Canis lupus familiaris: one gene and its partners. The protein of the gene in region 1 purifies or fractionates together with the protein of each later gene. This does not show direct contact. Links are inferred from orthologs where the notes say so. Each region holds a gene or a part of one and is shown in the gene's direction. Other genes may lie near its edges.

What was found. Proteins that work in one complex are often made in the same cells at the same time.
Region 2: the proteins of MOB1A (region 1) and LATS2 purify together in Homo sapiens (affinity purification with western blotting; 9 studies listed by BioGRID and IntAct, with this or other methods). This does not show direct contact. The link is inferred for Canis lupus familiaris from reciprocal best matches to the Homo sapiens genes MOB1A and LATS2.
Region 3: the proteins of MOB1A (region 1) and PJA2 purify together in Homo sapiens (affinity purification with western blotting; 3 studies listed by BioGRID). This does not show direct contact. The link is inferred for Canis lupus familiaris from reciprocal best matches to the Homo sapiens genes MOB1A and PJA2.

What each region holds. Positions count from the first base shown.
Region 1 is NC_049238.1:49,426,339-49,429,838, forward strand, and holds part of MOB1A (MOB kinase activator 1A), read left to right. Parts: intron 1-1,556; coding exon 1,557-1,690; intron 1,691-3,500. UniProt on the Homo sapiens protein: Activator of LATS1/2 in the Hippo signaling pathway which plays a pivotal role in organ size control and tumor suppression by restricting proliferation and promoting apoptosis.
Region 2 is NC_049246.1:17,175,460-17,179,652, forward strand, and holds the start of LATS2 (serine/threonine-protein kinase LATS2), read left to right. Parts: upstream 1-1,393; 5' UTR 1,394-1,524; intron 1,525-4,193. UniProt on the Homo sapiens protein: Negative regulator of YAP1 in the Hippo signaling pathway that plays a pivotal role in organ size control and tumor suppression by restricting proliferation and promoting apoptosis.
Region 3 is NC_049224.1:2,731,699-2,735,934, forward strand, and holds the start of PJA2 (E3 ubiquitin-protein ligase Praja-2), read left to right. Parts: upstream 1-1,436; 5' UTR 1,437-1,583; intron 1,584-4,236.

The sequences.
Region 1 (3,500 bases):
CTAATCAGTAATTGATATAAATTAAATAATAAAGCCTTTATATATATTTTTTATCTATTTACTTGTGTACAAGCAGTTCAATTTTATGAGTTCCTGAATACTTCCCTATTTATAAGCTTTTACTTCTTATTAAATACTTTGGTATGTGGTACTTAGTATTTAATTGCATTATAGTAAGTAATGAACGTTCAGGTTTTTTCCTTGTGCTTATTTAGTGTTAATTATTTCCAAGTTGTGCTGCTTTAATTATCTGGCTTAAAGATGCTAGACTGAAAAAATTTTGACTATAAGGGGCACCTGGGTGGCTCAATTGGTTAAGTGGCTGACTCTTGATTTTGGCTAAGGTCATGAACTCAGGGTCATGGGATTGAGCCCCACATCTGCTTGAGGATTCCTCTCCCTCTACCCCCCACCCCCGCCCCACTCATGCATGCACTTGAGCCTTCTCTCTCTCTCTCTCTCTCTCAAATAAATAAGAAATTTGATTATAATAAATCTTAAGAAATATTAAGAAACATGGAACACTTTATCACCCATAATGTTAATGTGTGTTATCACACACATCAAGGTGTGATGGGATTAATGTTTTAGTGTTTCTTCTTTCCAGTCTCTTTTTCTGATAATAAAGGACTAATTTTATATGGGGATACATGGTATTAAGACATTTACCCCTTGGGAAAAAATTGTCTTCCCTGAATATGCTGCAGGTATAAAGGAAAGAAAAGGTCTCCAATGAGTTTCTAGTTCTATTTCTAATTACAGTATTTTGAAGGGATGTTTTTATTTTGTGTTGTTATTCCTGAACCTTCCTTAGAAGAAATTTAAATAAAGTAAATAAGACAAACTTATTAATGGCTTAAATGCTTCACACAGTGAAGTTTTGCAGAAGTCTTATTATGCATTCTAGCTCAGCAAAGGAAAGGTGAAAAAGATGCGTGCCTAAGGGTATTTCTTTAGTACCCTCTCCAGGAAACAATCTTATAATCTTGACTGTATTGTTGATACCTTGATGGCCAGCTGTTGTAGGATATGAGGCATATCCCATCAGTCTCTCACCAGCCCTTAGCACCCTCTGCCAGGAATGTGTGTTCCTTTATTATTCCCAGGGCTGTGTTAAAACATCCATTTTGGCACTGTCAGCTGCCACATTATCCTCCCTTTCTCTTCTAATTATACCTATCCTCTTTCAGGATAATTCTGTAGGGGAAAAAAAAAATAGGGCAGCCCCAGTGGCCCAGGGGTTTAGCAACAGCCTTTGGCCCAAGGTGTGATCCTGGAGATCCAGGATCGAGTCTTGCGTTGGGCTCCCTGCATGGAGCCTGCTTCTCCCTCAGCCTCTCTCTCTTTCTCTCTCTCTCTCTGTCATGAATGAATAAATAAATAAATCTTTAAAAAAAAAATTCTATAGGGAAATCTGAGTGATCTTCAGTAGAACTTGAGGTAATTTACTAAAGTTACATGTAACTTCTATTGACAAAATGTAGACCTACTTTGATTGCAAGTTGTACATTTGTTACTGTTTTTGAAAACTATCAGTAAAATCTTTTTCTCTCCAGATACGAATATCACTGGGCAGATGGTACTAATATTAAAAAGCCAATCAAATGTTCTGCACCAAAATACATTGACTATTTGATGACTTGGGTTCAGGATCAGCTTGATGATGAAACTCTTTTTCCTTCTAAGATTGGTGAGTTAATGTTGAATTGTTTTCCTTTTTAACTGATAAATATGTTGCATTCTTTTTAATACTATTACTTTAAAAAAAAATTGTAATGAATACTGCCAAATTCCTCTCCAGAAAGATTGTAACCAGTATCTGCCCATGTTTCCTCACTAATATTGCGGTTGGCTACTCATTTTTTTTTTTTTTAATTTTATTTATTTATGATAGTCACAGAGAGAGAGAGAGAGAGGCAGAGACACAGGCAGAGGGAGAAGCAGGCTCCATGCACCGGGAGCCTGATGTGGGATTCGATCCCGGGTCTCCAGGATCGCGCCCTGGGCCAAAGGCAGGCGCCAAACCACTGCGCCACCCAGGGATCCCGGCTACTCATTTTTTACTCATTTTTTTCTGTTCCTATCCTTTGGTAAGATTAGCTCTGACATAAATGTCATATGTGCTTTTTCCTTGATTGCCATATGTCTTATTTTGTTCATGAGGTATTCTTGCTTGTATATAACTTTCTTATTTTGTTCTACTAATTTTTCCTTTACATTGTGTGGATTTTAATACAATGATTAGAAAGATTTTCCCTACTTCAAGATTATAAAAATATTTGTCCTTATTTTCATTTAGTACTTTTGTGGTTTTATTTTTACATTTAAATCTTTATTCTTGGGCAGCCCGGGTGGCTCAGCAGTTTAGCTATATGTTAATCCTTCAAGTCTTCAAGTTTCTTAAGTTTGTTCCTAGACTTTTTGTGTATAATATATATATATGTGTGTGTGTGTGTATATATATATATATATAATATCAATAAAAATGATATCTGGCTTCCAAATGGGTTATTGTTTAGTATGTAGAAAAGCTATTGATTTTTTATATAAAATTTCCAAATAAATTGGCCATCAGATTCTTATTGTTTCAGTTGTTTTGGGTTGGTTTTCTTGAGTTTTTAAGTATTCAATCACATCATATTAAGCTAATATTAAATTTGCCTCTTCCTTTCTGATCGGGATGCTTCTTGTGTAACTTGTACCTACTTGCCCCAGAGTAGTGCTGAGTAATGGAGATGATGTGGCAGGACGTCCTTTTTCTTGTTTCCTTACTTTTATGCAGGTGCTTCTAGTACTTCAGCGTTAAGCAGGAATCTTACTTTTGGTTAGACGTATGTGAATCTTTAAAAAATCAGGTGTGGTTGTTGAGTTTTATGATACTTTCCCAGTGTCTGTTGTTGGTTACCATAAAGTTTTTTCTGTGTTGTTTGTTTTTCAATGTTTTACTGGAAGAGTATTTTTTATTTGCTGATATTTTGATTAAGATTTTGTCATCGGTATTTATGGATGAGTTCAATCTTTTCATTTTCATTTTGAGTGTGTCTTACAAATGACATGTTGGATTGTCTTTTCTGTTCGTGCTGCTATAATAACAAAACTACCAGAGATTGGATGGTTCGTGAAGAGAAACTTCTCAGTTGTGAAGGCTGGAAGTCCAAGATCAAGGTGCCAGCATAGTCAGGTCTTGTGAAAACCAACTTTTGGGTTGCAGACTGCTGATTTCTTGCTTCGTCCTCACTTGGTAGAAGGAGCCCGCACAAGTTCTCTGGGGCCTCTTTTATAAGGGCATTAATCCCACTCATGAGGGCTCTGCTCTTGTGACTGAATCACCTCTGAGCCCCACCTCCTAATAGCATCACCTAGGTGGTTAGGCTTTCAACATGGGAATTTTGAGGGGATGCACATATTCAGACCATAGCAGATTCCTTTTTGTGGCCTAATCAGTGGCTCTCTTGGGAGAAAAACTTGTATCATGTTACACCAGGTCTCTTTGCTTTTCG
Region 2 (4,193 bases), on another chromosome or scaffold:
TCTCCCTCTGCCTATGTCTCTGCCTCTCTCTCTCTCTCTCTCTCTCCCTGTGTGACTATCATAAATAAATAAATAAAAATTAAAAAAAAAAAAATAAACACACAGGAAGAAGAATGGCAGCCAGCCCAGCCAGCCAGGGGCTGGGAAGGAGAAAGAAAGGTCAGTGCATGAGTGAATAGGTACACAGGTGAATGCAAAAGAGACTCGATTACAGAATATCCACTGGGGTTTTATGCCATTCAAGATGCCTGGGTAGAGCACAGGATAAGATTGAAAAATGAAATTTTCAATTTCTGGTAATTAAGCCGCAATAATCGGCTTAATTACCAGAGCCCAAAGAGGAGAGAAAACAGTTGGGGGATCTAGGAAGATTTCCTTGCAGAGCTAAGACAGAGGCAGGGCTGAAAGCCTGGGTGGGAATTAGAGAGTAAAGTGTATAGGATGGCCCACCAAGGATTGCTAACTAAGGTTGTTAAAACGGCCAGAGCTAATGACCTTCATGACGGTTTCTTTTCAGATTAAAGTTTAAAAAACAAAACAAAACAAAAAAAGTTTAAAAAACTTCACAAGAGTGTATTAGGAAAGGAAATTGGACTGCCTTTTAAAACAATATTAGCCCTCACCATCACCTGCCGCAGACTGCAGGTGGTAGGAAGTATGATGCCAGGAGAGTCCAGTAGTGGGTTAGGGGTTCGTTTGCAAGCTATTATTTGTACTCACATCTCCGCACCATCCCTGCACATGCCCTTGCACCACATGCACAGCCCACAGATGGACATGCACGACTCAGAGTTTCACTCGTTGGTCTACGTTACTATCTCGTTCTGCACATCAGGAAACATTTCTCATAAAATATCCATTGCTCTGGGGTTTGATTAAATGAAAACGGACTAAATCGGGATATATATATCTGAACGTCCTTTATTACTTGCTCGCACGGGTGAAGTTGTCCTCTTCTGCCCTTACTTGTAACAGCTGACACAGACTTGGGCACTTCGGTGGCTCCTCTAGGCCTGTTAACTCACTCTCTCAGCCGAGGCTGGTGTGAGATGCCTCGAGGACGGGGTTACCAAGTTTCCGAGTAGTGCGGCTGGAGGGGCGACCCTGGAGCGGGGCGGCCGGGGCAGGTGGCGGCGGGCGGGCGGGCGGGCGGGCGGCGGGGACCCGGAGGCAGGAAGCGGCGCGGGGCAGGGCGGGCGGGCGGGGCGGCCGCCGAGCAGCAGGGCCGCGGGCGCCCCGCCCGGGCTGGTATGCGGCCGCCGGTGACGCGGGAGGCGGGGTCACGTGACGCCCGTGGAATGCCAACAATGTAGCGAATGTCCCACTTGGGTCTGCGCGCTGGAACCTCGGCGTGAGCGCCCCGGGAAGATGGAGCCGCCGCCGCCCGCGCCGCCGCCGCCCGGGGCTCCCCCGTGCCCGCGGGGCCAGCAGCCGCTCCAGCCACTGGCGCCCGGTCCCCCGGCGCGCGAGGCCCCGGAGCCGCGGACCGGGACGCCCCGGAGGGTGTAGACCGCGCCCCAGGAGGTGAGGGGGCAGGGGCGGGGGGCGTGGGGCCCGGGGCCAGGGCGGGGCGGCTGGAAGTTTCCGCGGGCCGGCGGGGCCCCGGGGCTCCGGGGCGCCCACCCTCGGGCCGAGGCTGCGGGAGGGGCGCCGGGCTCGGCAGGGCGGCCGAGGAAGTTCGTCCCGAGCGGAGCCCTCGCCCTCGCCCTGCCCCCACGGCCCCCGCCCGGCCCGGGCCCGGAGCCGCCTCCGCTGGCGGCGCGTCGTCGCGGGCCGTCCGGAGTCGGCCGAGCGGGGGCCGTGGGGAGGCAGCGCCCGGCCGCCGGCGCTGCGCCGCTTTGTTGTGCGCCGGGCTCCCGGCGGGGCTGGGGCGGCCCGAGAGGCCGTCCGCGCCGGGGGCACCGCTGCGACGGCCCGGGCTGCTCCCCGCGACCGGGGCCGGGCGCCTGCCTGCTGGCGGCCCCGGAGCACCGGGGTCCGCGCCCGCTGCGCCGCCGTCCCCGGAGGCCGCGCCGTCGGCCCGCCCGCGGGCTGTGCTGTGCGGTCGTCCCCTCGCACCCCGTGCGGTGGTCCCCCCGGGCCGGGCCGGGCCGCGCCGCCGTCCGCCGCCCGCCGCGCCCCCCGCCCCGACGGCGCCGCCCGCAGAGCCGCAGCGTTGCCCACCCGCGTCGACCCCTGCAGGTTCGCGTCCCCGGTCCTCGCGGGTCGCGGCCGGGAGAGCGGCGGCCGTTGCGTAACACGCTCCCCGTGCGCCCCAGTTCACCGACTTTGCGGAGCTCCTCTTTTCTGATGCAACCTCACGTGCGCTCGGGTCCCCGCCGGACCCCGGACTGCCCGTCACTGCTCCGCATCCTGCCCTCGGAACTCGAGGACGGGCGTCTCTCGGGGTGAAGTCCCGCTGGCGGGGTTGGGCGGCGGCGCCAGCCCGGAGCGAGCCTGCCGTCCGCTGGACGCGAGCCCCCGGTGCCCCGGAGGCGGGGAAAGGTGGACAGACCCCTGCGGGCCGGCGAAGCTCCCGGGAGGCCGCGGCCCGTGTCCGGCGCTGCAGGCAGCACGTGCTGACCCCTTCCAGGGACAAGTATTTTGTTTTCTTGCAGTCATAACCGTGGAAGTATACTTTCTTTATTTGTAGATTGATAAAGACAAATCCTAAACGAGCACTTTGACATTTTCACAGCTATGTAGGATATAAGTGACGGTGCTCTAAAAATAATAGTAATGTAGCCTTTGAAAAATCGCGCAACGGTACTCAAGCCAGAGACTGTCCATTCGGCCGATAAAAATTCGGTGGCCAAACAGCTCTCTCCCCAAAGTATTCGGCAAATATGTTAACGTTTTACTAAGAAACTTAAATGGACTAAAATTTGAATGTAAAGTCACAAAACGTGTGTTGTCTTTGTACAGGTGTCCTGTTTAAACTTTAAATTAGTAGATGAGGGGCCTTCCTTTAATAACGGAGAAAAGCAATTCGTGGCTTATTATTAGGAAATTTGTACTTAGTAGGTCTTGTTCCATATCGTTGACTCTCAGCGTAAATCCCTTCCATGGTGGATCACGATTTCCGAGTGCTAAATCAAGAGACTAAGCCGCCTTGTATCTTTTACTTTTTTTTCTTTAGCAGCTGTCGTAATAAGGTAGTAACAGAACAATCTTCCAGGAGAAGAATGCAGAGACTGTTTAAGAAAGTCTGTTTTAAATTATAATTAACAAGACACTATATGTTATTCAGCGTCTCATAAAATTTGGTCTCATTATCCAGATATATAGTACACTGTTTAATGAGTACACCAGTATTCCTTTGATATTAAAATTGCTAAACATTTAATAAATCTCAAAATGTCAAGTAATTTAAAATGGTATCTGAGCAGAAGACATCATGCAAAAGTACTAAGGTGAATTACTAGAATCATGGAATTTTAGAACTGGAAAGGATTCCCTCCATCTTGTTGGAAATAGTTTTGACCTAAGTGTAAATTGGAACTGTACATATTTCTCTCCTTAGCAAATCACAGGGTTGATGGGAGGGACTTTCCTTTGGTGGGAGGGGAATGTTTTTACAATAAGGTGCCTTGTTATTTTAAATGCTGTGTTGTAAATAGCCAGCCCTAGGCTTCTAAATCCCACTGTGTGTGTGTGGGGGGGGGGGGGGGGGGGGGGGCAGGTGGTGAAGCTGATAAATTCACCATAAACACATAGGAAAGATTTGGGAAAGCTTTTGGAGGGGGCTGGGTGTTCTGCTTTGTATTAGATAAACCAGACCAACTCTGTTTTTCAAAGGTTGCTTTTATATTTTATTTCATAGTTATGATATGAAATTTCTAAGCAATATTCCCTACTGACTTTTTAAAAAATGGCTTGAAATACAGAAGATAACTCCGTGCATTTACTTTGTCTGGACTGTAAATCTGCTTTAAAAAGGAGCACCATATCCTGATCAGCAGAATGAAGGGCTTGGGCTTGATAATCCTGAAAGTGACTGATTTCCAGCTCAAAAAATTCTCTGAATCTCCTTCCTTTTTACAAAAGCCTATTGCTTAATAATTTCTCTGGACAGAACTGGGCCTCTGTGGCACAAGTCCAGGTGTCGCCATTCCCATTATACATACGGTGGGTGGATGATTCTGTGTGAACCAGGGCTTTATTACACAGAGCATCTGTGAATGGCTCCTGGTGTTTGAAGATAGCCCTGCTTG
Region 3 (4,236 bases), on another chromosome or scaffold:
CAAAAAATAAATAAATAAATAGTCTTTCTATAAAAAAAAAAAAAAAGAAGTGGGGCTCTTCGTTCTTGGGGAGAGGGATGCGATCAATATACCCGAGCCCCGGGCGGGTACGTGGTGGGGCGGAGGGGGCTGGGTTGGGGACTAAGGTGGGAGGAGAGCAGGACCGTAACCGGAGAAGCAGACACGTTCAGGAGAGGGGGGGGAAAAACAAAATTAAAAAAAAAAAAGGAGGTGTGCGGGCCGAAGAAACCACTGAGCATCACGGCATGATTCAGTCAACTGTTACCCGTGTTTAAGTTAAGCAGAAGGCCCCGGGACTACAGCTGTTGTATTTACCGTCGGGCAGGTGATGGGAGCTGGTCCTTCTGGGCTGCACAGCCCCCGAGCCTCCCGGTGCAAAGTGGGAGGGGGGTCAGGACCGGGCTGGGGGCGGAGGGGGGCTGGCAGGAGGCCGAGTGCCCCGTCCCCACCTGGGCGGGGGGCGCAGGGGGCCGCAGCGTCCCCGCGGGGAGGGGGAGGGGAGAGGCGAGGCCGAGGAGGGAGGGGAGGGGATGGGGAGGGGATGGGGAGGGGATGGGGAGGGAGCGGGAGGCCGAGTGCCCCGTCTCCGCCTCCCCCAACCTGGAGGGATGCGCGGCGGCCGGAGCGTCCCCGCGGGGAGGGGGCGGGGCAGAGGGAGGGGAGGAGGGGGGGGGGGAGGGGGGGGCCGGGAGGGGTTGGGAGGCCGAGTGCCCCGCCCCCGCCCCCCCACCTGGTGCGGATGCGCGGCGGCCGAGCGTCCCCGCAGGGGGGGCTGGGGTGGGGTGGGGGGGGGTGGGGGCGGGGCCCGCGGAGCGCGCGGGGAGGGGGGGCGGGGGGCGGCCGTGCCCGCGCTCGCTGTCGCCCCGCCCGGCTCCGAGCGGCAGCGCGCTGGCCTCCAGCCCGAGCCGGTCACCCGGGCGCCCAGGCCTCCGCGGCTTAGCGCTGAGCGGGAGCGCGCGGCCGGGGCGGCGTCGGGGTCCCTGCAGCCCGGGCGCTCCCGCCCCATCGCGGAGGCCCCGCCCTGTCTCGCGGCCCGAACCACAAAAGGCCGCGCGCCGAGCCCGCCCCGCCCCGCGCCGCCCCGCCCCGCCCCACCCCGCGCGTCGCAGTGCCGCAGGGGCCTCGGCCGGGCCGGGGAGCGCAGCCGCAGCCTCCCGCCCGCCGGCCAATCGGCGGCGCCCTCCTGGCCCGGGGCGGTCTGCGGCGCCGGCTCGGGCCGAGTCCCTTCCCCTTTCTCTGCCACGTCCCAACCGGTGACGTGAGCCCACTCCCCGGGTCCCCATTGGGCGCGTGGACTTTTCCTGCAGAGGCCCTGGGCGCCGATTGGCCGGCACCGCCCGGGGGCGGGGCTTGCGTGCCCGCCTCCTCCGCCTCCGCCGCGGCGCTGGGGGCGGGACGCGCGGCCGCCGCCGCCTCTGCTTCCGCCGCCGCCGCCGCCGCCGCCGCCGCCGCCGCTGCCGCCGCTGCGCGTTCCGCGGGGGAGGAGTCGGAGGCGGAGAAGAAGGCGGTGGTGGCGCTGAGGCTCGGGCGCTGCCGTCGCTGCGGGGCCGCTGCACTGTAGGGTGAGCCGTATTTCCTTTTCTTTCCTCAGGCCGAGCTGTAGTGGTGCGGGGAGCGCGGGGGTCGGGGCGAGGGCGGCGGCGGCGGCGCGGCGGGGGCGCGGGGGGGCGGGGGAGGCGCGGGAGGCGCGGGGCCTGCGTCCGCCGCCGGCCATGGTGGGTGGGGTTGGCGGCGCCACGGGCCCGGCCCCGGCCCCCGCCCCGGCCCCCGCCGCCGCCGAGTGCTGCCCGGCGGCCCGCGGAGCCCCCGCCGCCCCCGCCCCGCCTGCCGTTGCGGCCGCTCCCCGCCGGGCCGGCCCGCCTCCCGGGGCCCTCGGCCGCGCCGACCCCCGCGCGGCCCGTCCCCCCGAGCTCCCCCCGTGCTCCCGCCGGTGCTCCCTCCGTGCCCCCCCGAGCCCCCCCCGTGCTCCCCCAGCTCCTCCCCCCGTGCTCCCGCCGGTGCTCCCCCGGTGCTCCTCCGTGCTCCCCAGCTCCCTCCATCTCCCCTTGGTGCTCCCTTCAGTGCTCCCCTGGGTGCTCCCCCTAGCTCCCCCAGTGCTTCCCCCGCTCCCCCCCGTGCCCCCCCATGCTCCCCCAGCTCCCGTCGGTGCCCCCCCGCCCCCCAGCTTCTCCCCAGCTCCCCCCCCGGTGCCCCCCGTGCCCCCCCGTGCCCCCCGGTGCCCCCGCCGCTCGCAGTGTCAGGCCGCGCTCCCCCGCCCGCCGCCCGCCGCCTGGAGGCCGGCCTCCCGCGGATGGCTGCTTGCTAAATCATTTTGCGCACCTTCGAAATGCCGAGTTTAAAGCCGCCCGAGGACCAAGTTGAAGAAAAAAGGGAGGACGTAAAATACTCTTTTTTTTTTTTTTTTTTTGCAAAAAGGAAGAATAATCTGTTGAGGAGACTTCCCTCGCCAGGCATTAAATTTTTTTTTTTTTTTTTTTTTTTTTGCTTCCCGTATGCACGGGCCCTGCTTTGAGTCTGCTGCCTCTGTGAACTTTATGTTTATGTAGGTTTGTTTTTTTTAAGGCTTTCTGTATTTGCTTTTTTTTTTTTTTTTTTTATCATGACCTATTTGGTCAAATTTCCTTAAAATGGCAGTCCCCTCTGCCGAGGACTCCAGATCATTCCAAGAGCATGTCAATAAATATGAAAATAACAGAAAGAAGCGTGTTAACGATTTGTAGGTTTTTTTGTGTTTTGTTTTTTGTCTCATAGCATCCATCCCATTTTTATAGGAGATGACTCTAAGTCCTGAATATTGGCCCCAGACACGCAAGCTCGATGTAAAATTGGACAATATAAGGAAAAGGCCTATGGAGCAAGACTTGGACACTTGTCATCCTCCTGTCCTACTCCAGTCTCTGAAGTTAGCCATTTACTGGGCATTTTTAGAAACGCATTTTTAAACACATACATATAAAGTCGGGGTTCAGGGGCGAGGCGGGAGGAATACCAAACACCTCGCTGCGTCCCTCCTTCCTCTCACCTGCCCACGTGTCTGGCCCACCTTGGTTTGTTCTTTAGGGCTCTCTCTGATAACTTTGTTAAGGGTAAGCGGTATTTCATTGGTTTGGAGGAGCTGGGATTATTTGACCTATTGAAAGACATTCGATTAGTTTCTTTTCGCTGTCAAATACTGCTTTATTTGAAGACAACTTTTTAATGCATTGATTAGTTTTTAGTTGCACACTTTAAACCTTAAAATTTTTTAAAAAAATTCCAACAGTTGGAGGAATGAACGTAAGGTAAATAGTGCAGCACCCACTTCCCCTTCTGGTCCTGCCTTTATTCTAAAAGTCACCTGTTAGGGAAACGTCCTCTGTGTGTGATCACTTCTGGAGCATAGATTCCCTCCAAATGGAGTTCCTGCGTTAAATGGTATGCATGTTTTAAATTTTGATGACCGTTTTTCCCTCTTTCCAGAATTATTCTTGACTGTTTCTTATGCATTTCTTCCCCAGATGAACTTTAGATGCAACTTACAAATTTTTAAAAATCCTTAGTTTTTTATTTTCTTTTTTTGAATGTGACATTGAAATTTTAGATGGATTTGGGGCAAACTGACCTTTGTAATACTGAGCCTCTCCCCCAGAATATGTGCGTGTATGGTGTGTCTTTCCCTTTTATTCACATCTGGCTTTATATCCTTAGTTTGGGTTTTATAGTAGTTGTGTCCCCGCCCCCCATACTATGGCATTCCTTCCTAGTAATCCTGGCTAGAGTGTGATGTGATTTGCTCTGGTGGATAGAAACTTGCAGGAACATTTTCTCTCTCTTTCTGGTTATAGGAAAACTTACGGATTTTTTTTTTTTTGTTTATCATGAATCTAATCACTTTTGAGTTGGTGATTACCTAGAAGTGTTCACACCTTTCTGGCTTTCTTTTCATTTTTTTTATAACGTATTTTCCTCATTGCTTTGGCTAGCGTACACTTGCGGTATAATTTTGAAGAATAGCAGTGGTGGCTAAAAATGTGGTGTTGTTTCTGACTTTGAGGGACTGCTTCTGATGTTTTAGCATCCATTAACGATGTTTGCTGAAACTTTCTGTTAAACGGGAAATGTTAAGTTAAAATATTTTCTTCTCTTTTCGGCTTTCCAAGATGATTTTGTTGTTGTCTTTAATTTCTGATGACATTTTTAAAAACCGTAAGTGGGTGTTGAATTTTATTGATGGTT